4 linked regions of the Oryctolagus cuniculus genome follow. The main gene of each other region encodes a partner of the protein of the gene in region 2 in a complex. Links are inferred from orthologs where the notes say so. Each region holds a gene or a part of one and is shown on either strand. Other genes may lie near its edges. The genes, in order: FBLIM1, FLNA, ITGA2B and ITGB2.

Region 1 (7,328 bases), on a different chromosome or scaffold from region 2:
GGCCAGCTGGCGGCGGCAGGTGCGGCACGTGAAGCACTGGGCATGGTACTGCCTCTTCATGGCCTCCACGGCCAGCTCGCGGGGGGACACGGTCTTGTGGCAGAAGGCGCAGATGTCTGGGGTACAGGAGACACGGGCTGGTACCAGACACGCCCGCAGTGCCCAGGGCTTGGCCTCGAGCCCCCAGGAGGTGCTCATGTGATGAACGCAGAGGGTCACAAGGAGAATTAGAAAGGAAACGGCCTTTGGAAGGCTGACGTCGGGACAGCAGGACGCAGCGGCAGGACAAGTGGCCGTCACCTGCACTGGAATGGAGGGCGGGCTCCGCGGCGACACCCCCACCCGGAAATTCTAAACTCACCCGAGGTCTAGGGGGGACGAATACAACCACGGAGAATCCGGCTGTGACTCGGGAGGAGGGCAAGCCTAACTATGACACACAAGCCGGACACCGGCAGAGGAAGGCCTGCCATGGTCGGCTACGCCAAAATCGGGCGTCTACGGACGACGAAAGCCATCACACAAGTGACCAACTCAGGAGAGTGTTGGCAACGCAGCTGAGGGGAAGACTCGGTCTCCTGAGCTGGCCCAGGGCTCACGGAGTCCTCCTTACTGGCACCCCCCCCAAGCAAGGCAGGCTCTGCAGAGGCTGGGGGGGGGGGGTCCGGGGGAGGGGGAGACAGGGGCAGGAGCGAGTTCAGGCCCAGATGGCTCATGAGGGCAGTCGGCTAACAACACCAAACTCACAAATGCACCTGCCCTTTCCTGTCTCAGCAAATCATTTCCCATACATCCGCACGTGGGCACAATGACAGGAGAGCAAGGCGACCTGTGACACCAGGAGGCCACCGCAGTATCCGTCCCTGGGGAGGAGCTCGCCGCAGCCGGAGAGAAGGGGCGGCGGCCACTCGGCCACTTCCACTGCGCTGTGCCGCCCGAGGAAGCAGGCCAGCTCGCGCCCAGAGCATCTCCAATCAAAGACATCTCAACCGATCCAAAACCCAGAACGCCGAGCACGGGGCTGAAGCCTCATCCCAGGGCAGGTGCACCGAACACACTGACTGAATCCCGTGTTGGGACTTGGGTCCCATCCCAAGACAGCTCAGCATGCACACGCAAGTATTCCCAAATCTCCCTCCGATCCCAAATGCAAAACACTTCCGGTCTCAAGCATGTTGAAGCAGGCTCTCTCCACAGCAGGGGAGGGCACGCAGGTACACACGGTGGTATTTGCTGATGCAGACAGAACTCTGGATGCCCAAGACATTAACAGAGGTGGCCCCGGGGGACGCTGGGTGACAGGCTTTGCAGTTCGCATTGTGCGAGGCCACTAGGACGTGAACAAGTCGTGGGAAAAAATTCAAGGCATTTCTGCCATCACAGCAAAGCGCAGAGGAATACTTAAGTGGATTTTAGTCATAAAGGGAAGAAGGTTCTGGCAACAAAAACGCAATGGGTGCACAACTCAAACGCCCAGCCTAAGACGTGAGCTGGGCCAGGCAGGGGGTCTCTGCCCTCCCAGTTCCCACGAGGGCCCCTGGGGACCACCCCGGAATCCTGCCGGCCCTGGGCCCTTACCTGTGGACGTCTCTCTCTCAGGGAGCCCAGCAGGTTCTTCCGGGGGAGGTGGCAGCTCCTCTTCCGAGGGCCTGAGCTGACCAGGCCGAGTTTGGACCGGGGGTCCCTCCACCAGAGCCTGTGAGGACGCAGAGTGGTGTCAGCAGGGACCCCACACAGCCCTTCCAGGCTCTGCCTCCTCTGGGGGCACTGGACACAATCATTCCCATTGAACAGCAGGTAACTGAGGCCCCAGAAGCAAGTCACTCAGCAGGCAGGGGACAGTGGCAGCTGAGGTCAAGCAGTCAAAGCTCCGCCTTCCACGCCAGGGAATGCGGCCCTGGGCCGGGACCTGCCTGGCGCTGCAGAGGTCTATAGAGCAGAGCGGGGCGTGGCAGTCCCTTGGGATTGAGCAGGAGGGACCAGACCACCTCCAGGCTCAGCCTCCCATCCCCCACCCCGGGGGTCTGGAGGTACCTGTGGTGGGGGTGGGGGCAGGTGCAGCTGCTCCAAGTCGGAAATGAGTGATGCCCCCAGCGGACCAGGGGCCTCCTCAGGAGGAGGGGGCAGGTACACAGGAGGGGGCGGCGGCGGCGGGAGGTCCAGGTCGGCCAGAGGGTTCTGGGCATCCAGTGCGGGTGGAGGAGGAGCACGCTCTGCGAGGAAGGCAGAGGGTCAGCTGGCGTCCCTGCAGGTGGACAGAGCAGCCCTAACCCAGCCAGACCAGGTGCCGTCTCGGACTCTGCCACCACCAAGCAACGTGGGCGTCCCATACGGGCCAGGCTTCGAGTCCCGGCTGCTCTACTTTCTTTCTTTTCTTTTTTTTTTTTTTAATGTTTATTTATTTGAAAGGCAGAATTAGAGAGAGGCAGAGGCAGAGAGAGAGAGAGAGAGAGAGAGTCTTCCATCTGCTACCACAAATGGCTGCAAGCTCTGGAGCCAGGAGCCAGGAGCTTCCTCCGGATCTCCCACACAGGTGCAGGGTCCAAGGACCTGGGCCATCCTCCACTGCTTTCCCAGGCCACAGCAGAGAGCTGGATCAGAACAGCCAGGACTTGAACCAGCGCCCACATGGGATGCTGGCACTGCAGGTGGCGGCTTTACCTGCTACGCCACAACACTGGCCCCATGCTCTGCTTTCGATCCAGCTCCCTGCTAATGCACCTGGGAAAGCAGCGGAAGATGACTCAAGTGCTTGGGCCCCTGCACCCATGCGGGAGACCTGGGAGAAGCTCCTGGCTCCTAGGTCCAGCCTGGCCCAGCCCCAGCCATTGCAGCCATTTGGGGAGTAAAACAAACTGCGGATAGAAGATCTCTCTCTCTAAGTCTGGCTTTCAAATAAATAAATACATCTTTTATTTGCTTCACTCCCCACATGGCCACAATCTGGGTTCCCACAGGGGTGCAGGGGTCATCTTCTTCTGCTTTCCCAGGCACATCAGCAGGGAGCTGGATCGGAGAGGAGCAGTCGGGACTTGAACCAGGGCACATGTGGGATGCTGACACTGCAGGCTGCACCACAGCGCTGGCCCCTCTGCCTCTGACTTGCTGGGTGTCCTTAGGCAACAGACTGGACCTCGCCAAGTGTAATCTGCTTAGTTGGAAAATGGGCACCAGGCACTCAGGGGTAAGCAATATCTGAGATGACGGACAGGAGAGGCACCTGCCAGGGCCACAAATAGCAGCTGAGCAAGCTCCCCGACAGCCCTCCCCTGTGGGTGTGGCCAGGCCCCTGTGGACGCGCAGGCCTGACCAACCTCTCCCGCGTGGCTCTGGCCAGCAGCACCTGCCATACCCGGGAGCATGCCCCAGCCCTGCACAATCAGACGCCCTGGGTGGGGCCACCACCTGTGGAGTCTGACAGGCCCCCAGGGGATGAGAGGGGTGTGCTCCACCTCCGACCAGAGTCAGGGACTGAAAGGTGGAGGGGGGATGGGAGCTTTCTAAGGAGGGGTCAGCTGCCATCGCCAGCACCCACTGATGAGGCTCAGCAGACTTCGGGGTCTCCTGGTTCGTGTGACTCTACAGGAAGTGACAGGGGCACCACCTATGTCATGTTCTTACCCCCAGCACAAACCCTGAATGAACAAACCAAAAAGACCCGCCTCAATCCAGTCACATCTCCAAAGGTCCATCTGTGACAAGCGTGGAGCCACAGGGGAGCTGGATGAGAGGGCAGGGGAGAGAAGGGGCAAATCTGGGACATGCGTGGGGTACCCCATCAAAACGGACCCCACTTCTGCAAGGAGCCAATGGCACGAGGTGGGGGAGGGGTCTCCCCTAGATTTCAGAGCAAAACGGCCACTTAAAACACGCACATCCACAGGCCAGTGTCGTGGCACAGGGGTGAGGCCACTGCCTGGGACTCCGGCCTCCCACGTGAGCGCCCGTGGGGATCCTGGCTGTTCTGCTGCCGATCCAGCTCCCTGCTGCTGTGCCTGGGAGAGCAGAGCGCGGCCCAAGTGCTTGGGCCCCTGCACCCAGGTGGGAGGCCCCGATGCAATTCCAAACAGCCCCAGCCGTTGTGGCCATCTGGAGCGTGGACCAGCAGGTGGAAGAGCGCTCTGCCTCTGCTTCCCCAGGCAGCGTTAGCAGGGAGCTGGAGGGGAGGACAGCCTGGCCTCGGACGATGCTGGCACTGCAGGCGGTAGCTTAACCTGCTGGGTCACAATGCCAGCTCCTAAGTCAATTTTTTTAAATTAATTAATTGATTTATTTTGACAGGCAGAGTTAGACAGTGAGAGAGAGACAGAGAGAAAGGTCTTCCTTCCATTGGTTCACTCCCCAAATGGGCGCTACGGCTGGCATGCTGCACTGATCCGAAGCCAGGGGCCAGCAACTTCTTCCAGGTCTCCCACACGGGTGCAGGACCCAAGCACTTGGGCCATCCTTCACTGCCTTCCCGGGCCACAGCAGAGAGCTGGACTGGAAGAGGGGCAACCAGGACAGAATCCGGCGCCCCGACCAGGACTAGAACCTGGGGTTCCGGCACCGCAGGCGGAGGATTAGCCTAGTGAGCCGCGGCGCCGGCCTAAGTAAATATTTTAAAAAGTAATTTTTATAATGGTTACATGCTGAAATGATATCTCAGTACACTGGGTTTTATAATCTCTAAGGTTAAAATTAATATCACTTATTTCTTTTTCCTTTTTTTCAATGTGGACACTAGAAAATTTAAGTTACAAGTGTTGCTAGCATTTGTGACTGGCATTCTATTTTTATTGGATGGCTGGTATAGACCTTATCTGGACCCTAATTCAAAGGATTAATCCTCTCATTTAATCCTTCCCACTTTGGAGCTGAGGAAAAGCTAAACATTCCACTAAATTAGCTCAAAACACGGATGGGGGAGTGGGCGTGTGGCACGGAGGGTTAAGTACTGCTGTGAGGCCCACATCCTGCATGGAAGTGCTGGTCCGAGGTCCAGCTGCTCTGCTACCGGTCCAGATCCCTGCTGGTGCACCCTGGACACGGCAGACCGTGCTCAAGGGCCCCTGGCACCCATAGATGAGACCTGGATGGAGTTGTGGGCTCCTGGGTCAGCCTGGCACAGTCCTGGCTCCAGTGAGCATTTGGGTAGGGAATGAATAACTGGATATGAGAGCTCGCTCTCTCTCTCTCTCTCTCTGTCATTCTTTCAAGTAGAAGAAAAACAAAAACAAAAACAAACCAGCACAGCCCAGAGGCGGGCATCGGCCTGGCAGCTGAAACGCGGGTTGGGACGCCTGCATCCTGAACCAGACTCCCAGGCTGTGGTCCCCGCCTCTGCTCCCAACTCCAGCTTCCTGCAAGTGCGCGCCCTGGGAGGCAGTGTGGATGGCACACGTGGCTGACTTGGGTTGAGTTCCCCGCTCCCAACCTTGGCCAGCCAGGTTGGCTGTCAGTGTTCGGGGAGTGAACCAGTGACGAGAGCTCTGTCTCACCAGTACACAAATACGTGTAACAAAGGCTCCCGGTCACTGTGATACGATCCAGCCGCTACCAGGCGTTTTCATACAAGCAGTGAAGGCTGTGGGTTGAGTATCAGATAATCAAAGGCATCCTTGGATTCTCAGTTCAGTGGACGCCGCCCGGCCCTGTGGCCGTGTAAGGCAATGGCTGTATTTGGAGATGGACCTTAGCCAACGTGGGGCAGAACTGCCAGGGTGACTGGGTGCCTTCATAGCAATCCACACGCACACAGGAACAGACGAGACAGGCACGTCTGGACCTTGATAAGCGCTGGGACCAGACGTGGGCGCACAGGCTTTCTCCTGCTGGATTTGCTTCTGTGTGTTGTCTGGGGCTTCCTAAGACCACACACATGGACACACGCATGTGTGCAGGACACACACACCAGCACATGTGTGCACACACCACACACCAGCACATGCGTGCACATACTACACACCAGCACATGTATGCACACACCACACACCAGCAGATGCATGTACCCACCACACACACATGCACACACCACACAGGCACACAGCACACACACACAGGCACAAAATCACTTCCATTCCTAGCACAGTCTAAAGCCTGCTCCAGCGAGCTGAGTGCTGGGACCCTAAGGCTATTCTGTGGGTACAGGCGGGAGGAGGTAGGGTGGGGCTCCCACAGCTCCTGTCTCGGCACCCGTGTCTCTCCTCCATCCAAGAACCACCACATCCAGCGCCAGCCCTGCAGGCTCCATGGGATCAGGAGGGCCCTGTGGAAACCCTCTGCCCACCCCAGTCCCAGCGAGAAGGGTCACGGGCGTGCACCACCCACCTCCCCAGGCAGGCACAGCAAGCTCAGCCTGGCCCAGACGCGTGGGAACGCAGATGGAAAGTTCCGGAAGCCTTACGCGCCATGAGACCAGGCCCTCCAGGCGGAGTCTGGTTTCTCGCCCTTCAGTAAGGACAATGCCCTGCCCGCACCCCCGAGGGCTGAGGGCACAGATGAAGCGAGCGGCCACCTTGGTCCTGGCCCCGAAGCAGGTTACACCTGGAGGCCCTCTCCCCGCCAAGAATTCGCATTTCTGCTAACCACACCTGGGGAACTCCTGCGCTAGCCCCGAAGGCTCGGCCTTGGCGCCCCTGGCCGAGCACCGTAGCTCCCGCCCCATTCCACTGTCCAGATCACCCGCAGCGAACCGGCACGGGGCACGGCTGCGTGGGAACTTGTTTCACAACACAGTAGCTAAGAACCGTTTTCAAATAACTAGTAGAGAGAATTTTGAAAAGAAATGATAAGTATTTGAAACGACAGACAGGTCGATCACCATGATCTGATCATTATACAATAGATATATGTGTAGAATTGTCCTAATTGCATATAAACATGTATGATTATGTCAATTAAAACTTTTTTAATATTAAAAGTTATAGGGGTCAGTGTTGCGGTGCAGTGGGTTAAGTTGCTGCCCGGGATGCAGGCGTCCTGCATGGGATCACCAATGGGTTCTCAGCTGCTCTGCCTCTGATCCAGCTCCCGGCTAACATGCCGGGGAAGGCAGAGGAAGATGGCCAAGTGCTTGGATTCCTGCCACCCACACGGGAGACCCAGATGGAGCTCCCGGCTCCTGGTTCAGCCTGGACTAGTCACAGAGGACGTGGCCATTTGGGGAGTAAAACAGTGGCTGGAAGATCTCTCTGTCTCTCCTTCTCTCTCTGTAGCTCTGCCTTTCAAGTAAATAAAAATTTAAAAAATTTAAAAAATAAGGGGCCGGCGCTGTGGTGCAGCAGGTAAAGCTGCCACCTGCAGTGCTGACATCCCATATGGGGCCGTTTCAGACCCAGCTGCTCCAC
Region 2 (7,328 bases):
GCATGGAGTCGTCACCTGCGGGGGCGGCGGGGGGCGGCCATCCGTCACTGCGTCGGGCTGCAAGGGGAGAGCACGCCCACCCCCGCTCCCAGTGCCACCCACCTGTGACCCTGGCGGTGAAGGGGCTGCCTGGGATGTGCTGCTCGTTGTACTTGACCAGGATGCTGTAGTCGCCGGGCAGCACGGGCAGGTAGGAGACGCTGCACGTCCCGTCCTGGTTGTCCGTACAGCTGATTTCCGCTTTGGAAGGCCCCTCGATGGCCAGCGACAAGCCCCCTGGCCAGAGGTGCGGGTGAGGGTGGGCACCGTGCCCGGGGACACGCCGCCACGCCTGCTGAGGAGGAGCCCCGCTGGTGGGGCGGGGCGGGGCGGGGGCCGGCAGGCGGGGCTACCCCGTTAGGGACCCCGCCCACGTTCAGCCCTCAGCCGCCCCAGTGGGGAGGTCCCGGATGCCCAGCACGCGCCGCTCACCTTCTCCCGCGTCTTTGGTGTTGACGGTGAACGTGGCGGGCTTGTTGACCACTCCGTGACTGAGGCCGGGCCCGTAGGCAGTGACGTGGCCGCAGTTGACGTAATCCACGTAGAACTGCAGGGGGCTCCCTGAGGCGGGAAGGGGGCCGTGTCAAACGGCAGCCTCATGTGCCTCCACCCCCACCTCTCTGCGAGATGGCGGTGGCAGCGGCCGGCCAGAGGCAGGGTGGCCCACCTGGGATGTGCATGTTGTCGTAGCGGATGTCCATCTCGTGCAGGCCAGCCTCGCTGGGCGCATAGCGCACGGTCACGGTGCCGTCCTTGTTGTCAGTGATGGAGGGCTGTGCCACCTTGCCTGAGGGCATGCGGACCTCCCCTGCGGGGCAGCAGGGCAGTGGGGCAGCGGAGCTGGGTCAGGGCCGCCCAGTGGCTCGCCCCGGCCGCCCGGGCTCCCGCGCTCCTTCCCGCCTCATGCTCACCGGTGATCTCGCCCTTCTTGATGGTGAAGGGGATGACGAGGTCAAAGGGCCTCAGGCTGGTCACGTCCAGCCCGTTGACACCCACCAGGGGCCTCTCTGGGGCCTGCATGGAGACACGGGGCCCAGGTAAGTGGCTGTGGGGGCACGTGGGGGTCCCTCCTCGCAGGTGGCAGAGCGGCCGGGGCCCATGGGACTCCCTGCCCACCAGCCCTGAACATCTCTTTGGGCCGGGCGATCCGCGAGGTGGTGAGCCCTGCCGTACCCAGGTCTGCTGGCCACCCTGGGCATAGGTGTACTGTGGGGCCAGCTGCTGAGGCCGTAACGGGGGCTGTGCCGCGGGCTGTTCCCCAGCCAGAGCCTGTGGAGCAGAGCGGGAGCTGGAGAGTCTGTTGTCGCAGCGGGGCCCTGGGGGACGGGCCAGGCTGGACCTGTCAAGAGCCCCCTGCATCCTGCCCCCGGGCCCTCCTTACCGTCACTTGGAAGGGGCTGTTGGGCACATGTTCGCCACCAAAGCGCACACAGATTACATATTTGCCTGGCTGCGGGGCTGTGTAGAAGATGTCAAAGGTGCCGTCCTCGTTCTCAACCACATCCACGTCCACCTCTGAGCCATCAGGGGTGCACACCGTGCAGGTCACTTTGCCTTTGCCTGCCGCTTTTGTGTCCACGGTGATCACCGTCTCCTCCCCGATCTGGATGGTGGGGCCGATGCCAGCACCTGATAGGGCAGGGCAGGTCCCCGAAGGGAGGCCAGCACGTGAGCTCTGCGCTTGGGCTGCTCCTGTCTTCCGGCTGCCCCCCAGGCCTCAACGCCACCACCAAGCACAGCCAGGCCTCCCGCCCCACCCTCAGCTGGGATGGCGAGTGCTTTCTCAGAAGACAGGAAGGCTTCTCCTGACCACCTCAAGCCCTGACACCTGAGAGGCCTGACCGGGGGCACTCGGGTGCCCAGGAAGAGAAGGAAGGGCCCATCTCGGCATGAGCATCTACCGCCACCTCCCTCCCTTGCCCCACTTGGCCTCACTGGCATCGTGGCCCGTGCTGACAAACAGCAGCGCTCTAGCCAGGCCCACGGCTGCCTGGACCCCCTGTGGCCCAGCCCTGGCCCCCAGTGCTGTGTGGACGCGGTGAGGCAGAGTCCTGCTGCAGCGTGGGGGGACGTGACACTTGCCTTCCTACCCCCCTCCAGGCCTGGAGGTGAAACTGGAGTCTCCTGACAACTGAGAATGCTCGCTCAACCAGCGGCTCACTGTGAGAGGCAGCCCGGCGCAGGCGGGAGCAGGGAGGCGGGAGGCAGCCAGGTTAGCACCCAGGCAGTGCAGCACAGCAGGTTTGGCAGAGCAGTGGCAGCACCCAGGGGGACAGGGACAGGAGGCCCAAGCCACAGCCACCACCACTGGGTTGCAAGGGCAGAGAAGCTGAATAGCCTCTAGGGCCCCAGAGTGCCCGAGGAAAGGGGAGGTACAGTGACGTTATGATCTGGGGCTCAGCTGTGGAGGCTTGGGGAGCTGTGGGCTGTGAGGCCTGGCAGCGAGAGCACCCCTGTAGCCTGGCCTCCTGCCAAGGAAGCAGCCAGGAGCACCAAACTTGCTTGAGGGTCAAGTTCAGGGGGCACCCCTGGCCAGTCTGCCACCAAGTCCCCCTACTGGCCAAGGGTTCTTCCCCCTGCTTAGGCACTATGCTGACTGACCACAGCCCAGGTGGGTCTCCTGGGCTCTACAGCTGGCTATCTGCTGCCCTGGGAGGCCTCACTCACCTGCACCCCACACCACCCAGCTCATGGCTAGGGCTCCAGCCTCACAACTACCCCCGATTCCCACCTTTCCCAGCCCATCAGCAGGTCTTAGCTACTCTATTCTCCAAGTACCCTGTCCTGGCTGGGCTCCCACCTGAAATCCCATGGCCACTGGCCTGGCCCAAGCCACCCGTCCAGCTTACCCAAAAGTGACTTCAGCCCCTGAGCTGGGCTCCCTGCCTCCACACTGCACACATGGGCCACGTAAACTAAGGCTAATGCAAACCTCTCCCCTACCCCCTAGTCTGAGTCCTGCACATGCACCAGGTCTCCCCCGATCCCAAAGTCTACTCTACAAGGCTGTCTAGCCCCGCTCCAAAACCCTAGCCTCCCTCTAACCTGCTCCCTGGCCACCCTGCCTGAGTGGCCGGCCTACAGCCTCTAGAGGCCCTCAAGTCATTCTCCCCTCTTAGAGGTGCCCCTGGCTGGGGCAGGCAAACTTCTGTGCCTGCCAGGGGATGGCCTGAATAACGTCACTGCTAGGGGGACAGGAGAGGAAGGGAAGGAGGGAGACGGGCAACACAGTGCACTTTGGGGCTCTAGGCTGGGCTGGGCCCCGCCATGCTGGCCACCCAAGCAGTCGACGCTGGTGCTACTGCACTACCAGCCAGCCCCACCCGCTCATGCACCTCCCCCGGCCCGGGACTCAGGCCCCTGGGAGGTAGGGATGGGAGTCTGCGGATCTGGCCGGAGCTAGGGACTCCCCTTGTCCCCTTAATCCAAGCAGGAGCCCTTGTGAGAAGGAAGGGCCCACTGCCTATCCCTGGGTACTTGCCCAGAGTGCCAAGATCCCCAGACCCCAAAGTCCCCAAGTGGGGTGCCTCTCAGGATGCACCTCACCCCAAAGCTCTCAGCTGCAACCCGAGTTCTCCAGTGGGGAAACGGAGGCCCAGAGAGGGGAAGGGCCGGAGTGTTCATGCTTAGCTCCGGAAGCCTCCCTGGGCCCTAACCCTCCAGCCCATGGCCTTGTCTTGCACAGCCCCCCCACCCACTCTGTCCCTGCTTGGAGCTGCAGCTGGAACTCTCCTGGGAATCAGCACCGGAAGAGGAAAGGAAGCTGCCCTCTGGGCAGGAGGGGCGTTGGGAGTGGCCCCAGCAAGCAGCTTACCTAGCCCGTGACCTCCGATTGACACTGAGGTGAGAGGGCAGAGAGCAAGGAGAAAGGTCAGGTGAGTCACTCAAGGGGGCGGCCCCCACTCCCACACGCCGCCCCAAGCAGCGAGCCCTTGCACACAGGCACACCCAAGCCCCGTGCCGAGCGCCACAGCGGCCGCTGGCGGGCTGGCTCACCTGTGACCGTGCACTTGCTGGCATCCCCGGTGGGCACGGCCCGGACACGGTATGGGGAGAAGGGGATCTCATCACCACCATACTTGATGAGGATGGTGTAGCGGCCCGTCACATCTGGCACATAGGCCACTGTGTACGTTCCATCGTGGTTGTCTTGGATGTGTGTCTTCTTGGGCTTGCCTTCAGGGTCCTGCACGGCAGAGCACGTGGAAGTGTTGGCCCGGGCCCAGGTAAGCCACCCTCCTGAATGGATGCCAAGTACCACTGCTACAGGGACAGCCTCCAGGCCTCTCAGCAGCTATGGCCCCAAAAGGCTGTTTGCACCCAGCATCATCCTTACTTCCCCATGGGCAGTCTAGATGGAACTGCAGAAGTATTCAACACTGCTCCATGTGCCGACAGACAGGGCCAGGGCCCCTGGGCCCATGCTCCCTTACCCAAATCCCCTGCCACGACCCCTGTGGGCTCCCACCCTGAGACCAGGGTCTGCCCCAGCACTCAGGGGAGCTCAGCTGGGAGATCTCCTCGTATCTTCCCAGTGAGAATGGCACAGGAGGGGAAGTGCAGCACCAGAGGCCTTGGGAAGGTCCTCAGTGTTAGCAGAGGGTGTGTGCTCCACGAGGCCTGTGCCCGCCAGCATCAGCCTCAGGTAGTCATGATGGTGGCAAAGCAGAAGCTGGCCGGCCCTGCCTTCCCTGGGATGACTCCCTAGGGAGACCCAGCCTGGCCTCTCCTCTGCCTGCACCATGCTACAGTCCAGCTTGTGAGGCCAGTGAGCTCACCGTGATCTGGACAGCCAGCAGGCCCTCCCCAGCATCCTTTGCATCAATGGTGAACTCCACAGGTAGGCTGGCGGGTACACCAGTGGTGTTGAGTCCAGGGCCACTGGCCTTCACCTTGCTGGCATCATGTGTAGGCAGCACCTTGACCTTGAAGGGGCTGTGGAGCCAGGGTGTTGCGAGAGGTCAGACAGGCTCTGGACATCCAGCCTGGACCCCTCCCCATGGGTGGTGGGCCCTGACTCACCTCCGGGGCACCTCCTCTTCCCCATACAGCACTGAGATGCTGTAGGGCCCTTCTCGGCTGGGCACGTAGTTGACAGTCTGGGTGCCATCGGCGTTGTCCACCACATCCACTGGCTCCACCAGGCCTGACCCCAGTCCAAGGGACACAACCTCAGCCAGCCCCCTGGGCCCCTACCCCCACCCCCACCACACTGACCCGGTCAGGGCACCAGGCCTAGACCTCCTCTTGTCGCTGCCCATCCACAAGGACGGCCCCAAACCCCTGTGGCATGAGACACCACTCTGGTTGCCACTTTGGACCCTTGCTGTCCCTCCCTCCTACCCCATCTGTCCTGCCTCCTCCTGCTCTCCCCACCAGCTCTCCTCTGTCAACCCGAGGGTCTCCCACTCCACCTGCCCACACACCTGACTCCACTCTGCATATGCTGGGCCTCCATGTTCCTTCCCCCTGCTGAGTCCCTGGCTGCCGGGTAGGTGAGCACTCACCTTTGGGCCCCTGCACTTTGACCTGCAGTGGCGCCACCCCAGCCTTGCTTGTGTCCACCTGGAAGGACTGAGGAAGGTTGGCACGGACCATGCCTGGGCTCAGGCCAGGCCCAGAGCACTTCACCTTGGATGCATCTGTCACGTCATGCACAGGGACCTTGAAGGGACTTCCTGGGGGTTGGGCAAAGGGACAGCAGCTGCGTAAGACAGCGTGGGGAAATCGGGCAGTCCCCGCCATCTTGACCACTGCCTTCTCACCTGGCACTTGGTGGCCACCATAGGTGACATTAAGGCTGTAGGTGCCGGCCTCATAGGGGATGTACTCCACTGAGCAGCTGCCGTCCTTGTTGTCCATGCAGGACATCTTGGCCTCAGAGGGCCCTTCGACAGCCAGGCCCAGGCCACCTGTGCCAGCTCCCCTGGTCCCAACAGACAGCCCGTCACTCTCTGAGGGTCTTGAGCCCATGGCTCTCCTCTGCGTCCCTGGTGGTTGGCTTACCTGGTTTCCACGGTGAACTTGTTGGGCTTGTTGGTGGTTCCACTTTGGATGCCCGGCCCGTGGACACGCACCCGGGACGGGTCACAGCCCTCGGTCACAGGCACCTGGAAGGGGCTGCTGGGCACAGGGCTGCCAGCATAGGTCACATCTACAGAGTGCAGTCCTGGGGGAGGGCAGGCCAGGTCAGGAGGAGCCTGCGCTGGCTCCCCCCACACCCATCCGAGGCAGCCTGTGCGTACCCTCCTCATAAGGTGTGTACTCCACTTTGTATGTGCCGTCTCCACAGTCCTGCACGTAGGTCTCCGTCAGGTTGCCTGAGGGGTTGGCCACACGGGCCTTGACGTGTGGCCCTCCAGTCTGGGTCAGAGCCCGGGCATCCACACTGAACTCGGTGGTGGCCTCCCGGAAGACACCTACAGTGGCACACAGGCAGGAGACATGGGGCTTTAGGGGCCCTGACCCCTGGCCCCTACCCTCTACCCCCACCGTGTGTCACAGGGCAGGGTCCTCACCTTGGCCCTCAATGCCAGGCCCATAGCACTGGACACCTGAGGTGTCCACTGCAGGCTCCACCTGCAGCTTGCTGGGAAAGTTGGGCACAGGCTGGCCGCCGTACTTGATGGTGACAGTGTAGGCCCCCGGGCAGAGAGGAATGTAGGTGATGGTGTGCGTGCCGTCGCCGTGGTCTTGGATGTATACCTCGGCCGGCAGCCCTGCCTCAGAGCAGATCTCAATGGTCAGCTCCGCACTGCCTGCACTCGAACAGTCCACGTGGAACTGTCCCACCTCACCAGCAGTGGCTCGCTCCAGCCCAGGGCCCGAGCACTTGACCTTGGATGCATCGAAGCAGGGAACCACATGGGCCTTGAATGGGGAGCCAGGGATGTGGGTGTCGGCGAAGAGGATGTTGATGTTGTAGTCACCAGGCTCGGTGGGCACATAGGACACGGAGCATGTGCCGTCCCCATTGTCCAGGCACTCGAGCTGTGCCTCGCAGGGGCCCTCCACCGTCAGGCCCAGGCCCCCTGTGCCGGCACCCTTGGTATCGATGGTGAAGCGGGCTGGGGAGCCAGCACTGCCCCCCTGTAGCCCTGGCCCAAAAGCCTTCACCTGAGGAAAGAGGGGGTCAGGAGCTGAGGCCATGCTACCTCCAGCCTGACCCCTCCATCTCCCTCCTTTTGCCCCCATTAGCCAGCCCACGCATCAGTCATGAGTACAAAAAGGAGAAGGGGTGAAGACAAATCTGGAGCAGCAGGACGCCCTCCTGGGCCCTCAGAGAGCAC
Region 3 (7,328 bases), on a different chromosome or scaffold from region 2:
GTGAGCAGGGGCACTGGGGAGGTGGGGGTGGGATTCTGCTTTTGCGTCACTGTCACACTTCTTTTTTTTTTTTTTTAAGTAAATTTTCATTTGGGAAATAATAACCTAAAAATGCATTGCATAGAGAATGACCCCCTTGTTATAAACTACAGCAAAAACCGAAATCAATAGGTGAGGTGCCTTCAGAAAGTCTGTGGGAACATGGAATGCAAAGGTTACGATTATTTATGCCCAGAGCGTTGGAAACCTGCTGCTAGCTTTTTCATACTGCACGTTCTCCATGCACTTTCTTGCAGTGCCCTTTGTACCTCTGTTAGTGACTGTCAATCTTGGAGGAAAAAGACTGGGCACAGGTTCCAGCTACCACTTCGTTTCTGAGACATGTAGGGGTTTTTCGATTGAGTTCTCGAATTTTGTGCCATTAGGGAGCATTCCTCTTCCAAACACCTTATGTGGCCAAGCATACGGGACATGGGAGCTCTTGCAGTGGGATATGGACAGGGTGGAGGCTTCTGCACGTGTCAGGACCTGGCAGTGCCCTAGGGCTGGGCCTCACCTCTATGGTGCTCACTGCCCGCATGTAGTGGGCCCCCAGGGGCAGGTGCACCACCAGCTCTGCCTCGTAGGCCCCCTCCCCGTCGTTGGCCGCGACCATCTGCAGCTCCAGCACATTGTCAGCCCCAATCAGGAGTGGGGAGCCCTTCCTGTGGGGGGGAGGGAGAGGAGTGAAGCCAGGGAGGAGGAGAGGCGGCAGGGGGCCGAGAGGGCCGGGGAGGAGCAGAGTGGGAGGTCCCCTTACAGGCTGGCCGTGAGGTGAAGCTGGGGCACGCACACGTCATCTTCCCCACACTCCAGGATGATGCGGGTCTAGGGGGGCACATTGAGAGGTGTGGGTAACTGGGGTCCTCTGAGGCTTGGGGGCCACACCAGGGTTAGGAATACAACAATGGGCTTGGGATTCTTATCAGGGCTTAGGGAATAAGGGACCAGTGTTGTGGCACAGCAGGTGAAGCTACCACTTGGGATGCCGGCACCCCAGATCACAGCGCTGGTTCAAGTCCCCGCTGGTCCACTTCCAATGCAGCTCCCTGCTAATGCCCCGGAGAAGGCAACAGAAGATGGCCCAAGTGCTTGGTCCCCCCCACCCACATGGGAGACCAGGATGGAGTTCCAGGCTCCTGGCACAGCCCGTTTTCTGTGGCCATTTGGGGGGTGAACCAGTGGATGGAATATCCTTTCTCTCTCTTTCTCTCCCTCTCTCCATCACTCTGCCTTTCAAATAAATAAAGCAAATCTTACAAAAAAAGATCTGAAGCTGAAAAAGTTTGGAGTTGACCTCAAGGTGTAGGGGATATTGGGATTTTCGCTAGCCTCTCTCTGTATATATCATAAACATATAAACATACTCTGCACATACACAAACACTTGAATTATTTGAGAGGCAGAGAGAGAGAGAAACAGGCAGACAGAGCTCCACTGGTTCACTCCCCAAACGCCCACAGCAGCCAGCAAAGCTGAGAATTCAACCTGAGCCTCCCAGGTGGGTGACTTGAGCCACCTTCACTCTCTCCCAGGGTCTGTATTGGCAAAAAGCTGGGATCAGGCACTGGCACTGGGAATTGAACCCAGGCGCTCGGATATGGGATGCAGGCATCTTAACTGGTAAGCCAGATATCGGGGTGACGTCAAGGTCTGGGGGTACACATTATGATTTGGACACTACCCCAACCTAGGCTTTCTGTCAGGGGCCCTGTACCACTCCCACCCGTCCCACCTGCTCCTGCACGTGGGTGTTCCCGTGCAGGACCACGGCAGGGGCCACGCCAGCCTCCTTGGGCTGCAGCGACACGTTGAAGCTGAGCACGATGGGGCTCAGCTTGTCCCGGAAGTCCGCCTCATCCTAGGAGGGAGACAGGAGTCAGGCAATCTCGCTCCATGCACATCCTGCTGATGACCCCTGGACCCACAGCACCCAGCCCAGTGCCCCAGGGCTGGTGAATGCGGTGCACACGCCCAGCCCAGCCGAACCCCTGCCTGTGCGTACGCGAAGGAAGGCCGTGGTGTTGTGGCAGAGGCGGCTCTGCCTCCCGCCCAGGTCCATGCTCAGGGTGGTGCTCGCCTGCTGAGAGCCCAGCAACAGCACTCGCCGGCCCTGGCGGGGCTTCTGGCGGTCCAGCTGCAGCTCAGCCTGCAGGTCTGCAGGACAAGCAGGCCCGGTCAAGACCACCTGGCCAGCCGCGGGGGAGCCTGGGCCCTCCTCCCCCTGCGCCTCCCGAGCCACTCACACAGCCTCTGGGGAATGTTGTGCCCGGTGACCCCCACGCACATCTGGATGTTGAAGCTGCAAAGACGTGAGTGGGTTCAGGGGCGAGGGCCGGCCCAGGGACCACAGGTCCCGGCTGCCGCGCCCGCGCCTCCTCACCAGCTCACGGGGGTGTTGGTCTGGTGCAGGACACAGTTCTTCACAGCAGGGTTCAGCGAATCTTGCACCAGCAGCTGGACATCGGCCATGACCACCGGCTGGGCTCTAGCGGGACAGAGGGGCGCCTGCCGTTGCGGCCCCTTTGGGGTTGGCCTCCTCCCGCACCCCGCCCCCAGAGTCAGCGCTCACCTGTACACAACCACCTTGTCCGCCCCGTAAGCTCCTACCAGCAGGTCTAAACATTGCAGGAGGGGTCGGGATTGGCAGTTAGAGAGGGCATGGGGGCGGCTTCTCATCTCCCTTAGGGCTCCGCACACCACCTCCCCCGCCCCAGGAAGTCTGACCTGCTCCCCTCCACCCCAGGCTTCCCAGCCATACAAAGCGGTCAGAGCCCCCAGTGGGGCGGGCACCAGGTCAGGCCCGGGCCTCCTGGCTGTCTCTCGGCATTTGCAGCAAAGGCACCTGGGTATCCGTTGTCATCGATGTCTGTGGCACCTCTCAGACAGAAGCCAAAGGCAGAGCCCGCGGGGAAGGGGCTGTCCAGGACCTGGGAGGGATGTGGGTTCAGCCCCTCGCTCTGCCCCAGGTACACCAGCACTTGGCCCCGACCGCTCGGACCCCCGTAGGGCGCAGCCACCGCAACATCTGGAAAGGTAACAGGCATGGCTGCTTGTTATTCAACCCCCCCCCCCCCACCAGGGGCACGGCTTCCTGAGCTCCCTCTCTGGGCCGGCCCCGGAGGACCAAGAGAGGGCTGCCCAGTGTGAGGCCGAAGTTGCGGTCAAGTGGGAGAGAGGCTGGTCAGGCAGCACTGTTAGGAAAACAGCACCAGCCTCCACTAACCGCCGAGGAAAAGAGATCAACAAGATTTCATTTAATCCTGAAAATGAGGCATTATTCTACTAATTTTAGATAAAAAGTGTGGGCTCCAGAATATGGAGTAGCTGAAGCTTATTAAATACAGGCCCCCAACTTCCCCTGGGGCCCTGCGCTTCCCCCCCACAGACTCAGGCACACCCACAGGCTCTCACTCACCTTTGAAAGCGCACCTGTTGTCAGAGTGGCACCTCTGAGAACTCTTCGTGTCTGACACGAGCGCGTCTTTGATACGTGCCTTGCACCTGTCTACCCTTTGCCTCCCGATTTTGTTGACAGCATGTTTCCTACGCAGCTCTTTCTTTGAACTGTCTTCACTGATTTCTCTGACCTTGCCATAGGCTGAGCCGGCTTGTCCCACTGCCAGCCCTGGGTGAACCCAGCTCGGGGCACCATGAGCCCCTGACCCCAGTGCCCTGGAGGCTGCCCCGCTGCCTGGCCAGGTGCTGCTCACTCCTCCCAGTCTGCTCAGCACCTGTTTCTAGCTTCCTCCATCCTTGCAGCGCCCAGCCCTTGGCTTCTCACAGGGGACCGCATCTCCTACTTCTCAAAAGGGAAGTGGCCCCACCGTGGGCCACCAGCTCCCTTTACCCTGTTCGTGTTTGACATTGGAACAGGTGTCTCTCTTCACCCGGCACCGGGCTGTGTCCCCCCTGTGCATTACAGGAACCTCTTCTGGCTCCCCTGGCTCCGCCCCTGGTTCCTCTGGCTCCACCCCCTGGTCCCTCTGGCTCCGCCCATGACTCCTCTGGCTCCACCCCCTGCTCCCCATGGCACATTTTCTCCTGTTCAACCCCTTCCATTTTCCTCCACATTGAATTCATCTTTCCTGACTGAAGCCCCTCCTGGCTCCCCCTGCCCTCGGGTCAAGCCCAGGCTTTCTGTTGAGGCTGTTAACCCTCCTGCAGCAAGTGGGGGCTCCTCTCTCCTCACCATTGTAGCCATCCCTGTTGAGGTCGCCCAGGGGCGCGATCGCAGAGCCAAACCGCCCGTAGAGCTGCGTGCCGGTCAGCAGGAGGCTGGGTGCGCCCAGCAGGTGGGGGCCTTGCAGCTGCAGGAACAAGTACACGCGCCCCACCTCGGCCAGCTTGTGGTCTGCCTGGCTCGCCATGAACAGAGGAGCGCCCACCAGTAGGTCATGCCTCCTGCAGGCAGAGGGGTGGTCAGCTGGGGCTGGCTAGTGGCGGCTGGGGGCTAGGGCCAAATCTTGCCCACGCTGGCTCTCAGCTCCTGGGGCGGTCGTGCCCAAGGCAGGGCTGGCAGAGGCAACTGGGGAACCAACGGGGTAGGGGTGGGGCGTCCCCCTCCTCACCCATCCCCGTTGACATCAGTGACCGCCACAGAGTGCCCAAAATACGAAGCCATCTGCAAGGAGACGAGGGCACCTTCGTTTGTACCTCCCAACCCCCCAGATATTCTGTGGTCTTAGTTTCCTGTCTTCAGCCAGTCCCAGCGCGGCCCGGCCCCCACCTGCTCGCCCTGCAGCCGGTGCAGCCTGTAGAAGTAGGAATCCAAAATTTCCACCTGCATGGACAGTGCATGGAGCGTGTTACGTTTGCTCCCCGTGAGAAGGGCAGGAAGTCGGGGCGGGGGGACCGTGAGCCTGAGGACTGGGGACATTGATGCCAGTGGTGTGGTGGAGGGCACTCACCGCTCCCATGGTCCAGCTCCAAGTGGGGGCACCGAGGACATACTCTGGGGGAGAGCCAGGCTCAGCGGGCGGCATCTCTAGAGCCTGCTACCTCCCACCCGCTCCGCGCGCAGCTTCTCCCGGGGCTGGGCTCCCAACCCCGCCACTGAGCAGGTGGACTTCTTACCTGTTGTGCTGAGATCCCCATCGAATTCGCCCACGGCCACCGAGTACCCTGGGGACAAATTAAATCTTAGCAGGAGGTGCTGGGGGCGAGAAAAGAGGGGACTCCGAGGCCACCCAGTCCGAACCCGGCACCGCGCAGAGCCGTCCAGAGGCGGGGCGCTGTAGGCGCTGCGGAGGCTCCCGAGGGGCAGGACGTGGTCGGCGGGGCGGGCGGTGACCCCTGGGGTGCTGGGGCTCCAGATTACCTCGGTAGCCGTCGAAGTACTTTCGGTTGCTGTAGTCGAAGGTGAAGTTCTGATTGGGCACGGTCCACAAGAGGACGCCGGGGCTGTAACTCGAGATGATGTTGGCAATTGGAGCCCGGACCAGGAAACCTAGGGCGCGAGGGGCAGGGAGTGTGGGGGCCCAGACGCCAGGGGTCTCCCGGGGCCGTGAGAGGGGCGGGGGTCGCACCGACTCGCACGTACCTAAGTAATAATAGCCGCCCGGAGCCCCCAGCACCAGCTCTCCTTCCTGAAAGGGAAGCCCTGGAGGTGAGAAGAGCGCCCGGTTCGTGGACTGCCCCCACCATGCTTTTGCCTCCAACTTGCCTGGGTGATCACGGAGCTGAAGCCCGCTTCGCAGGAGCGTAAGTCTCCTAGGGGAGACGGCTCAGTGAACCCGCGGGGGAAGAAGCGAGCCTCCGCGCCTGCAGCGCCGCGGGGCAGTGCGCAAGCGCGAGGGGGCGGGGACAGGGTAATAAGGAGGCGTGGCTGCAGTCGGAGGGGCGGGACCAGGAGCTGGGCAGACGCTAAGGCCAGATTGGAAGCCGGGCTGGCGGAGGTTAGGGGCGGGGCTATGCAGTCTCGAGTGGGCGGAACTAGATGGAGGGTGGCCCTTACTAAGATACATTTTTTCGTAAACGTGGCTCATGGTGTTGCCACGACAGGGCGAGTACTCCGCGCGCCTCCCGCTAGGCAGATGAGCCACGAAGCAGCCGCCGACCGGCGTCTTCTCGGCCTCCGCTGCCTTTTCCAGGACGTTCCATTGCTGCCAGGGGGCGCAGGCCTGGACAGGGCCACGGGAGAGTGGGGAAGGGTGCGAGGCTCGGGCTCCCCCGTCCCCAGCGCATCCCCTCCCCGACCGCCCCGTGCCGGTCTCGGGGCGCCCACCACAATGATGTCATTCCAGCTGACGACCGACGCCCCCAGGCCTTGCCGGGCCCTGAAGGTTTGGAAAAGTTGGGAGCTCGTTTTTCGGTACTCGTCGCCTGGAGGGCACAAGAAGGGGTGGGGCGTTGAGTCCCATCCGGCCGTGAACCTCCCCCTCGCTCCTCCCTTCCACCCTTGCTGGGGACTCACTGAGGTTGAAGGACAGCAGGCTGCACGGGCTGCCCTCGGCCTTCCAGGGGCACAGGAACACGCCGCCCGTCTCCTTTTGGCCGAGGCCCAGGGTCCGCGGGGCGCCCACCACGATGGCCACGCTGCGCGGGAAAGCAGGGTGAGCGCGGCGCGGTGCTGGGAGCGCGCCGGGGCCGTGTAGCCGGCGGGCACCGCATCGCTCTCCTACATGGGACCTCACACTTTATTGTGAGAGAGGGAAATCCCATGCCTAAAGTAACCCAGCGAGTCGGGAGTGAAGCTGGAACTGATCCCACGGTTTGATTTGAACACCGGGGGTTCGGTATCCGTGAGAAAAGTATCGCCTACGCTGTCGGCGTCTCCACCGTCCGACCACCAGCCACCACCAGGGTCTCGCGTGCTCCTGGGAACCAGGTCCCTCCTTGGGAGGGGGTTTGAGTGCTGAGGGAGGCACGCGAAGTGGGGCGGGGGTGCGTGGGAGCGGAGGGTCCCGCCGGGGTAGTTTTACCTGAGCTCTGCCACGTGTCAGTCAGGCAGAACGCCAACCCATGTACTGCACGTATACGGGGCGTTTAGCACGGTCCCAGTCCAACAGGGAGCAAGTTCATTGAGGAAGAACACTTTATTTTTTGGCACCCAGGATGTTTACTACGTAGTGCCCATGGGACCACTAATCGTGGAAAGGAGGGGGAAAGCAGCAGCAACAGGTGTGGAGCTGAGATTCAGACCCAATGTCAGATGGGGGTCAACACCCGGGGGCTGCTCCGCTTCCGATCCAGTTCCCTGCTAACATGCCGGGGAGGGCAGTGGGGCGATGGTCCAGTCCTTGGGCCCTAGCCACCCACATGAGAGACCAGATGGAGTTCCGAGCCCC
Region 4 (7,795 bases), on a different chromosome or scaffold from region 2:
AGAAGCCCAGGGCTTCAAACCAGTGATGGCCCAAAGCAGAAACATAGCCTGTCACTCAGACGTGGAGATGTCAGCTTGCTGAGGCCACGTGTGCCACCTGTGCCCAGCCACACAGCCACAGGCCTTGTGTGGCCACCCCATGGAAAAGTCTCACCCAGTGGAATCCTATGCAGGTGTGAACAGTGGCTCAGGCCAGCTCGACCTCATGGTGGCAGGTGAGTGGATGGACACCTGCCTTCCCAGCAGAGAGCAGGCGGGCAGCAGGGCCTGCACGTGCTGGGCCAGCTCAGAGGTGGCCTGGCCATGCCTGGCTCTGCCCTCCAGGGTTGGCTTTTTCACCTCAGGCTCACTCACTGGAGTGGACTGTACCCCATCCCATCAGCAGCCAGCCCTGCCTCGGGAGAAGGTTTGGAGACTGGGGCTGGCTGTAGGGGCCTCTGGCCTGGCCTGAGCTGCGCTGGCCCCCACAGGTGCAGGAAGACGGGACAAGGATCTGGTTCTGGGACATGGGCAGGTGCAGCCAGACGAGAACTCCCTCCAGGCCAGCTGCATGCAAGGCCCGCGTGTCAAGACTGGGCCTGGGCCCAGCGACCGCTGTGAGTGACAGCAGTCAGTGAACGGGTCTCCCGGAGCACAGGGCCCGACCAGGACGGGGAGTATACCTCCTGTAAGCCGGGTCTCACCCAGAGCCTCCAAGCCTCAGGCCCAGGGTGGGAGAGAGGGCAGCGCTCCCAGTTCAGGACAGCTTGGCCCAGGGAAACAGAGAGTGGATGCAGTTCGCACCCGGGCGTCACCTGAGACCGCCCAGAGCCTGGGAGGGGGCACCCCAAGATGGGGCTCCTCAGTGGTCTGGCTGTGCCCACAGCAGGGACACGTGTGCCACTCAACCCTCTGCAGCGGCTGGCACCCCATCCGCAAGTGGGGGCTGGACACCGGGCCCTGGCCCCGGGCAGAACCGTGGCTCCTGCACAGCCTCAGGGACATGTGCCCAGGGAGGCAGGGCCCTGTCACCCGGGGCCGCCCGGCTCCAGGCTGCCCACCCAGGCTATCACCTGTGCGTCCCGCCAGGGCCTAGCCAGGTTCTGCCCCGGGAAGTGAGCTCTGAGCTTTGTCTTTGCTTATGGGGCAACTGGGCCATACACAACAGGCCAGCCTGCCCCTCACTCTTCACAGATGGGGACATTGCGTCCCAGGAGGCCTGGCCAACTACGCCTTCCAGATGGGGTGCAGGCAGACCCATGGATGGCACAGCTTCCTGTCCGGGGGTCTCTGCCTCCATGAAATGTCTGGGTGACAACTGCAGTGTGTCCCTCCCCCCAGCCCCGAATGCTGGCGTCTTCCACGTAAACGACACCTGCGAGGTGGGGCCACCAGCCGGGAGAGCCAGGGGTGCTGGTTGTCTGGGCAGGGCCAGCTCAGGCAGGATGAAAGGGGGAGTGGGAGCTAGCCCCAGACTGCAGGGTCCCTGGGATCCTTTCAACCCTCCCCCACCTGCCAGAGACCTTGGGACGGCCCCCAGAGGCCTGGTCATGGGTGAGGTGAGGCGGGGGCGCTGAGCCCGGGCTGTGGGGGGCAGCATCACACGTAGCACCTGCTCACAAAATAGCACCACCCACTGGGCCAGAGCAGTGACGGCTGCCTCCAGGGGACTGCACTGCACACACACCACACAGACAGCACACACCACACAGACACACACATCACACAGCACACACAGGCACACATCACATACACCAGACACACACACATCACACAGACAGCACACATCACACAGACACACACACCACACAGCACACACAGGCACACATCACATACACCAGACACACACACATCACACAGACACACACATCACACACACCACACACAGGCACATATCACATACACCAGACACACACACATCACACAGACACACACATCACACACAACACACACAGGCACACATCACATACACCAGACACACACACATCACACAGACAGCACACATCACACAGACACACACACCACACAGATAGGCACACATCACACACACACCACACAGACAGCACACATCACACAGATACACACATCACACACACCACACAGACAGCACACATCACACAGACAGCACACATCACACAGACACACACACCACACAGATAGGCACACATCACACACACACCACACAGACAGCACACATCACACAGATACACACATCACACACACCACACAGACAGCACACATCACACAGATACACACATCACACACACCACCCACAAGCACACATCACACACACCACACAGACAGCACACATCACACAGACACACACATCACACAGCACACACAGGCACACATCACATACACCAGACACACACACATCACACAGACAGCACACATCACACAGACACACACATCACATACCACACAAGGCACACATCACACACACCAGACACACACACATCACACAGACAACACACATCACGCAAACACACACATCACACACACCACACACAGGCACACATCACATACACCAGACACACACACATCACACAGACAACACAAATCACACAGACACATACATCACACACACCACACAGCCAGGCACATATCACACACACCACACACAGGCACACAACACATACACCGGAAACACACACATCACACAGACACACACACCACACAGACAGGCACACATCACACACACACCACACAGACAGCACACATCACACAGACACACACATCACACACACCACACAGACAACACAAATCACACACACCACACACAGGCACACATCACATACACAACACAGACAGCACACATCACACAGATACACACACATCACACACACACAGGCACACATCACATAGACTAGACACACACACATCACACAGACACACACACATCACACATACCACACACAGGCACATATCACACATACCACACAGACAGCACACATCACACAGACACACACATCACACACACCACACACAGGCACACATCACATACACCAGACACACACACATCACACAGACACACACATCACACACCACACACAGCCAGGCACATATCACACACACCACACATATCACACACACCACACACAGGCACACAACACATACACCGGAAACACACACATCACACAGACACACACACCACACAGATAGGCACATATCACACACACCACACAGACAGCACACATCACACAGACACACACATCACACACACCACACAGACAGCACACATCACACACACCACCCACAGGCACATATCACATACACCACACAGACAGTACACATCACACAGACACACATACATCACACACACCACACACAGGCACACATCACATACACCAGACACACACACATCACACACACCACACACAGGCACACATCACACAGACACACATACATCACACACACCACACACAGGCACACATCACATACACCAGACACACACACATCACACACACCACACACAGGCACACATCACACAGACACACATACATCACACACACCACACACAGGCACACATCACATACACCAGACACACACACATCACACAGACAGCACACATCACACAGACACACATACATCACACACACCACACACAGGCACACATCACATACACCAGACACACACACATCACACAGACACACAGCCAGGCACATATCACACACACCACACAGACAGCACACATCTCACAGACACATACACATCGCACACACCACACAGACAGCACACATCACACAGACACACACACATAACACGCACCACACAGACAGTACACATCACATGCACCACACAGCACACATCACACACACCACACAGACAGGCACACATCACATACACCAGACACACACACACCACCCACACCATACAAGACACACACATATCACAAGACACACTCACACCATACCACAGACCCCACATATACCACACAGAAATGCACATACGTGCCATAACACACACCACACAGACACACACATCACACACACCACAGACCACACTTACAACACACACACCACACGGACACACACACACGCCACAGCTGGTGGTGGGGACACGCAGACAGCAGGGCGCTGACTCTGGCTGGGAGAGGCGGCGCGGCCGCTAGGGGGAAAGGCCTCAGGCCCCAGTGCTGATGGCCACACCCTTACCCAGCATCCCCCAGCCTGGGGGGCTTGCAAACCCTCTGCCTGAGCCTCCCCCTGGTGTGCTGGGCCTCGGGGCCCCCGCGTCCTTGGGGCCCAGCCAAGGTCTGGCTCACCCTGGAACCGGAGGCCCTGGCACGTGCTCCCATGTGCTCCCCGGCCGGTGCTCCCTGTGGCTCTGCCCCTCCTCTCGCTGGGTCTTGGAGAAAGGGGTGCCCAGAGCAGACGGCTGGGACCCCCTGCTGCTGGTCAGCCCCGGCCAGGGCCACAGACACGGCCGCCGGGGCCACTCCAGGTCCTAGAGGGGCTTCCTTTGGGAAAGAGAGCAGCTGCCCCGGGACGAAGCCAGGGATGGGGTACTCCCCTCTTCCAGCCCCCCTGACACGGAGGGGCCCTGCACTCACCCTCGGCTCCGTGCGTCCCGGCAGGGCTGGAGGTGGCTTCGCCGGCCGTTCAGCAGGCTGGCTCTGTGGTCGGGGCTGGGACACAGCGGCCCCACCGTGAGGTCTGCGCTTCCTGTTCTCAGCCAGTTCCTCCGAGGGGGCGGGGTGACGTGTGGCGGGTTGCCCCACATGGGGCCGACGGGGTGCGCTCCTGTGGGCAGTGGGGACGGGGCCAATGGCGGCACCGGGGGACTCCCAGCCTGTCAAGGAGGGCAGTGGGCAGGAGCTGGGTCCGTGGATTTACACATGAGCCCTGAGCCTGGGAGACTGAGCCACTCGGACAGGAGACCCCGAGCAGGCCCAAGCAAGGTGCCAGGGTCCAGGCAGTGGCTCAGGGGGCCACAGCAGCGGGCGTGTGACGGCATCCACCCAGCATGGAGGCCAAGCAGGGCACAGCGCACAGGCGGGGAGATGTGCCGCAGACAGCCCGCCAGGACCCAGGCTCTGGGAGGGGGAGGGGCAGGGCCCGGCCCAGGTGGAGCAGAGGAGGCCCCAGGCTCTCTGCCGCTGCCAGCAGAGGCAGACGGGAAAGCACCAAGCCCAAGAGAAGTCAAGCCAAGAAGCAGGCAAGAAGCATCACACGTGTCACACGCCTGTCCCGGGGCCTGGTGGGCTGCAGAGCACGGGTCCAGGGTGCCCTCAGGTGGGAAACAGGATGTCAGGGGGTGGGGGCAGTTAACACATCCCCGTGGGAGCACTGGGGTGGGAGGGGGTGCGGCCTGGCTCCGTCGCCTGATTCCAGCTTCCTACCACGCAGATGCTGGGAGGCAGCAGCGATGGTTCAAGCTCTCGGGTCCTGCCTCCCACACAAGGGAGGCCCGGTGGAGATCCCGCTCCCGGCGTCAAGCCTGGCCCGGCCCCAGCTCAGCCCTGGCAGCAGCAGGTATTTAGGGAGTGAACCCATCTCTCTCTGTCTCTCAACAAGTAAAAAAAATAAAACTGTTTTAAAATAATATAAATAGGAAAAATACATCTGAAAATAGAAAAAATAATTTTTTTAAATTCAAGGGATGCAGAACACACAGGAAATGTGAGAAGCACAGTGGGATGCTGGGACAGCGTCAGAGGCTCTGGAGGGGTCACAGGTCCTGTGGGTGGGCTTTGGGCTCCCTCTTCAAATCAGTAAATTCTTGCTCTTTATAAAAATAAAGAGCAAACAAGCTGCAACATCATGTTCTCTGCTGCGACCGTCTCCTCCTCATAGATTATTCTAGAAAATGGCAGAGAAGGGGGACAGGGTGTGGGCGTCACCCTCAGTCCCGCCCACCGACAGCCAGGCCTCCGCTGGACAGCACTGGCTGCTCATCTCGAGACCCTGAGAGCCCACGCCTTGCCACGGGTCGGTCACCTCGATGGAATAACAACACAGGGAGAGCGTGTTAGTACTCTCTCTCTCTCTCTCTCTCTTTTTTTTAAAGATTTATTTATTTATTAGAAAGGCAGAGTGACGGAGATCTTCCATCTGCTGGTTCACTCCCCAAGCCAAAGCCCGGAGCCAGAACTCGATCTGGGATGCCCATGTGGGCGGCAGGAGCCTGAGCACGTGGCCATCGCCTGCTTTCTCCAGATGCATCAGCAGGAGGCTGGATTGGAGCAGCCAGGACTCAGATCGGGATCTGGCGCCACAAGCTGGGCTTGGCCTGCTGTGTGACGATGCTGGCGGCATCACCGTCCTGAACTTGAATCAGATCAGGCCTTCGGACCCAGCTAAGAGCTCGCTGGGCCCAGGATGCGATCAACAAAACCCAGGCTGGAGAACCCCCCACTCCCTCCAGAGCCTGCCAAGACTGGAGGCGGAGGGAGGACCCCACCCACTAGGAGATTGAGAGACACATCAACCAATCGCAGTGCGGGGACTGTGGGCGCCATGGCGAGACTCCTTTTGGGTGTGTGCCTTTGAGAGCCTCCCTGCCTGTGCAGACGACACGGCGTGACGGTCAGGGTCTGCTTCCAGGGCGGGGGCGAGAGGCCAGCGAGACAGCGGACGCTGGTGACGGCTGACACTGGTGGCAGGGACACGTTTATTCTCCACAGCAAACTTTTAAGAAATCTCTTACAGGAAGTGTCAGGTGGCTCAGTGGGTGGAGTTTCAGTCTCGCAAGATGGAAAGTTCTGGAGCCAGATGGCGGTGAAGGTTGCACAACAGCTCGAATCTTGCCGCACCGAGACAAACGCCCTGAGTCACCGTGGCCCGGGCGTCTCGGGTTCTGCACGTTCTGTCGCGATTAGAAGGAAAGCAAGTTCTCTCCCGGGGAAACTGTAAGAGAACAGACCAACGGCGGACGCTGATGGAACGGAGGTGCCGGTTCTGAAGGCTGGCGGACGCCAGCCGGTAAAGCCTGCAGGAGCAGCCCCCCACAGACAGGCTGCCCTGGACAGGGAGAGACGCAGCCCACGAGGACGACAGTGGTCACACATCCGCACAAACACAGCGAGCATCTCTGACTCCGAGCACCGCGCCGATCCGAGCCGTGGCAAGTGTAGGGACCGCCACCTGCCCTCTCTGGCCTGTGCACGCCGATGCTGAGACCCGGGCGACAACCACAAGCAGGTCTGAATATGTTTAATGGTGCAGACCAAACTCAGACACAAAGTGACAAAACCAGAGACTGACCGGGTAGCAGTTACAGCAAATGCCCAGCACCTGCGTGGAGCAGCTGGGACTCGAACCGGTGACCACAAGCGCCGAGGCTTACCCCGCTGCAGCAGTGCCGGCCCCAGGAGCTCGAGCTTGCAATGTCCTCTAGCACAGTAGGGTGACGATGGCTGATGACAATGACGTCAGACGTAGCCTGGATTTCCAGGTTCCCATACAGAGCGGCGCTGTGGGAGGCAGTGATGTGCCCGCTCCCCTGACTGACAGTGACCAGCACACACACGCTGGAACGTCACGCTGTCTCAGCAAGATGTGCCGTTGCTGTGTCCAGTTAAAACACACGCCGAGGGCCACAGAACGTGACTCCCAGAGCGGAATCCACAGACTCAGAGCCCCGCGGGCAGCCTGCCGGCACCCCTGAAGACAGAGAAGACGGGGGACCTGGGAGACAGGTGCAGCGGGCTTCAGTGTGCTTCCTGTAAACTTTCATCTGTTAAAAATCAAGGAGAAGGGGCCGGCGCTGTGACGCTGCGTGTTAAAGGCCCGACCTGCAGTGCCGGCATCCCATATGGGTGCAGGTTAGAATCCCGGCTGCTCCGCTTCCAAGGCACTGGTTGAATTTAACACGA

What was found.
Region 1: the proteins of FLNA (region 2) and FBLIM1 are in contact, whole or in part, in a crystal structure (PDB 4P3W), measured with the Homo sapiens proteins. The link is inferred for Oryctolagus cuniculus from reciprocal best matches to the Homo sapiens genes FLNA and FBLIM1. Residues at the interface, in NP_001104026.1 of Homo sapiens: Met2207, Gly2208, Thr2263, Arg2264, Gly2267, Ala2268, Gly2269, Gly2270, Leu2271, Ala2272, Ile2273, Ala2274, Val2275, Glu2276, Gly2277, Pro2278, Ser2279, Lys2280, Ala2281, Ile2283, Phe2285, Cys2293, Glu2306, Phe2311; in NP_001337080.1 of Homo sapiens: Lys7, Arg8, Val9, Ala10, Ser11, Ser12, Val13, Phe14, Ile15, Thr16, Leu17, Ala18, Pro19, Pro20.
Region 3: the proteins of FLNA (region 2) and ITGA2B are in contact, whole or in part, in an NMR structure (PDB 7SFT), measured with the Homo sapiens proteins. The link is inferred for Oryctolagus cuniculus from reciprocal best matches to the Homo sapiens genes FLNA and ITGA2B. Residues at the interface, in NP_001104026.1 of Homo sapiens: Thr2263, Gly2267, Ala2268, Gly2269, Gly2270, Leu2271, Ile2273, Ala2274, Val2275, Glu2276, Gly2277, Ser2279, Ile2283, Phe2285, Asp2287, Arg2288, Lys2289, Gly2291, Cys2293, Val2295; in NP_000410.2 of Homo sapiens: Trp1019, Lys1020, Val1021, Gly1022, Phe1023, Phe1024, Lys1025, Arg1026, Asn1027, Arg1028, Pro1029, Pro1030.
Region 4: the proteins of FLNA (region 2) and ITGB2 are in contact, whole or in part, in a crystal structure (PDB 2JF1), measured with the Homo sapiens proteins. The link is inferred for Oryctolagus cuniculus from reciprocal best matches to the Homo sapiens genes FLNA and ITGB2. Residues at the interface, in NP_001104026.1 of Homo sapiens: Val2241, Thr2263, Ala2266, Gly2267, Ala2268, Gly2269, Gly2270, Leu2271, Ala2272, Ile2273, Ala2274, Val2275, Glu2276, Gly2277, Pro2278, Ser2279, Lys2280, Ala2281, Ile2283, Phe2285, Phe2311; in NP_000202.3 of Homo sapiens: Leu753, Phe754, Lys755, Ser756, Ala757, Thr758, Thr759, Thr760, Val761, Met762, Asn763.

Annotation. Positions count from the first base shown.
Region 1 is NC_091438.1:153,856,219-153,863,546, forward strand, and holds part of FBLIM1 (filamin-binding LIM protein 1), read right to left. Parts: intron 2,214-7,328; coding exon 2,035-2,213; intron 1,697-2,034; coding exon 1,579-1,696; intron 117-1,578; coding exon 1-116. UniProt on the Homo sapiens protein: Serves as an anchoring site for cell-ECM adhesion proteins and filamin-containing actin filaments. Is implicated in cell shape modulation (spreading) and motility.
Region 2 is NC_091453.1:132,582,501-132,589,828, forward strand, and holds part of FLNA (filamin-A), read right to left. Parts: intron 7,156-7,328; coding exon 6,558-7,155; intron 6,459-6,557; coding exon 6,285-6,458; intron 6,209-6,284; coding exon 6,046-6,208; intron 5,966-6,045; coding exon 5,805-5,965; intron 5,718-5,804; coding exon 5,547-5,717; intron 5,186-5,546; coding exon 5,062-5,185; intron 4,975-5,061; coding exon 4,818-4,974; intron 4,226-4,817; coding exon 4,036-4,225; intron 3,878-4,035; coding exon 3,854-3,877; intron 1,669-3,853; coding exon 1,421-1,668; intron 1,309-1,420; coding exon 1,213-1,308; intron 1,054-1,212; coding exon 951-1,053; intron 848-950; coding exon 707-847; intron 601-706; coding exon 472-600; intron 277-471; coding exon 103-276; intron 16-102; coding exon 1-15. UniProt on the Homo sapiens protein: Promotes orthogonal branching of actin filaments and links actin filaments to membrane glycoproteins. Anchors various transmembrane proteins to the actin cytoskeleton and serves as a scaffold for a wide range of cytoplasmic signaling proteins.
Region 3 is NC_091448.1:18,916,152-18,923,479, reverse strand, and holds part of ITGA2B (integrin alpha-IIb), read right to left. Parts: intron 6,577-7,328; coding exon 6,455-6,576; intron 6,364-6,454; coding exon 6,266-6,363; intron 6,162-6,265; coding exon 5,996-6,161; intron 5,752-5,995; coding exon 5,701-5,751; intron 5,628-5,700; coding exon of another isoform or gene 5,624-5,627; coding exon 5,582-5,623; intron 5,489-5,581; coding exon 5,360-5,488; intron 5,164-5,359; coding exon 5,116-5,163; intron 4,994-5,115; coding exon 4,950-4,993; intron 4,823-4,949; coding exon 4,769-4,822; intron 4,664-4,768; coding exon 4,611-4,663; intron 4,444-4,610; coding exon 4,232-4,443; intron 3,068-4,231; coding exon 2,885-3,067; intron 2,658-2,884; coding exon 2,612-2,657; intron 2,528-2,611; coding exon 2,423-2,527; intron 2,342-2,422; coding exon 2,286-2,341; intron 2,197-2,285; coding exon 2,045-2,196; intron 1,901-2,044; coding exon 1,775-1,900; intron 868-1,774; coding exon 800-867; intron 705-799; coding exon 557-704; intron 1-556. UniProt on the Homo sapiens protein: Integrin alpha-IIb/beta-3 is a receptor for fibronectin, fibrinogen, plasminogen, prothrombin, thrombospondin and vitronectin. It recognizes the sequence R-G-D in a wide array of ligands.
Region 4 is NC_091435.1:1,688,550-1,696,344, reverse strand, and holds the start of ITGB2 (integrin beta-2), read right to left. Parts: upstream 4,687-7,795; 5' UTR 4,532-4,686; intron 1-4,531.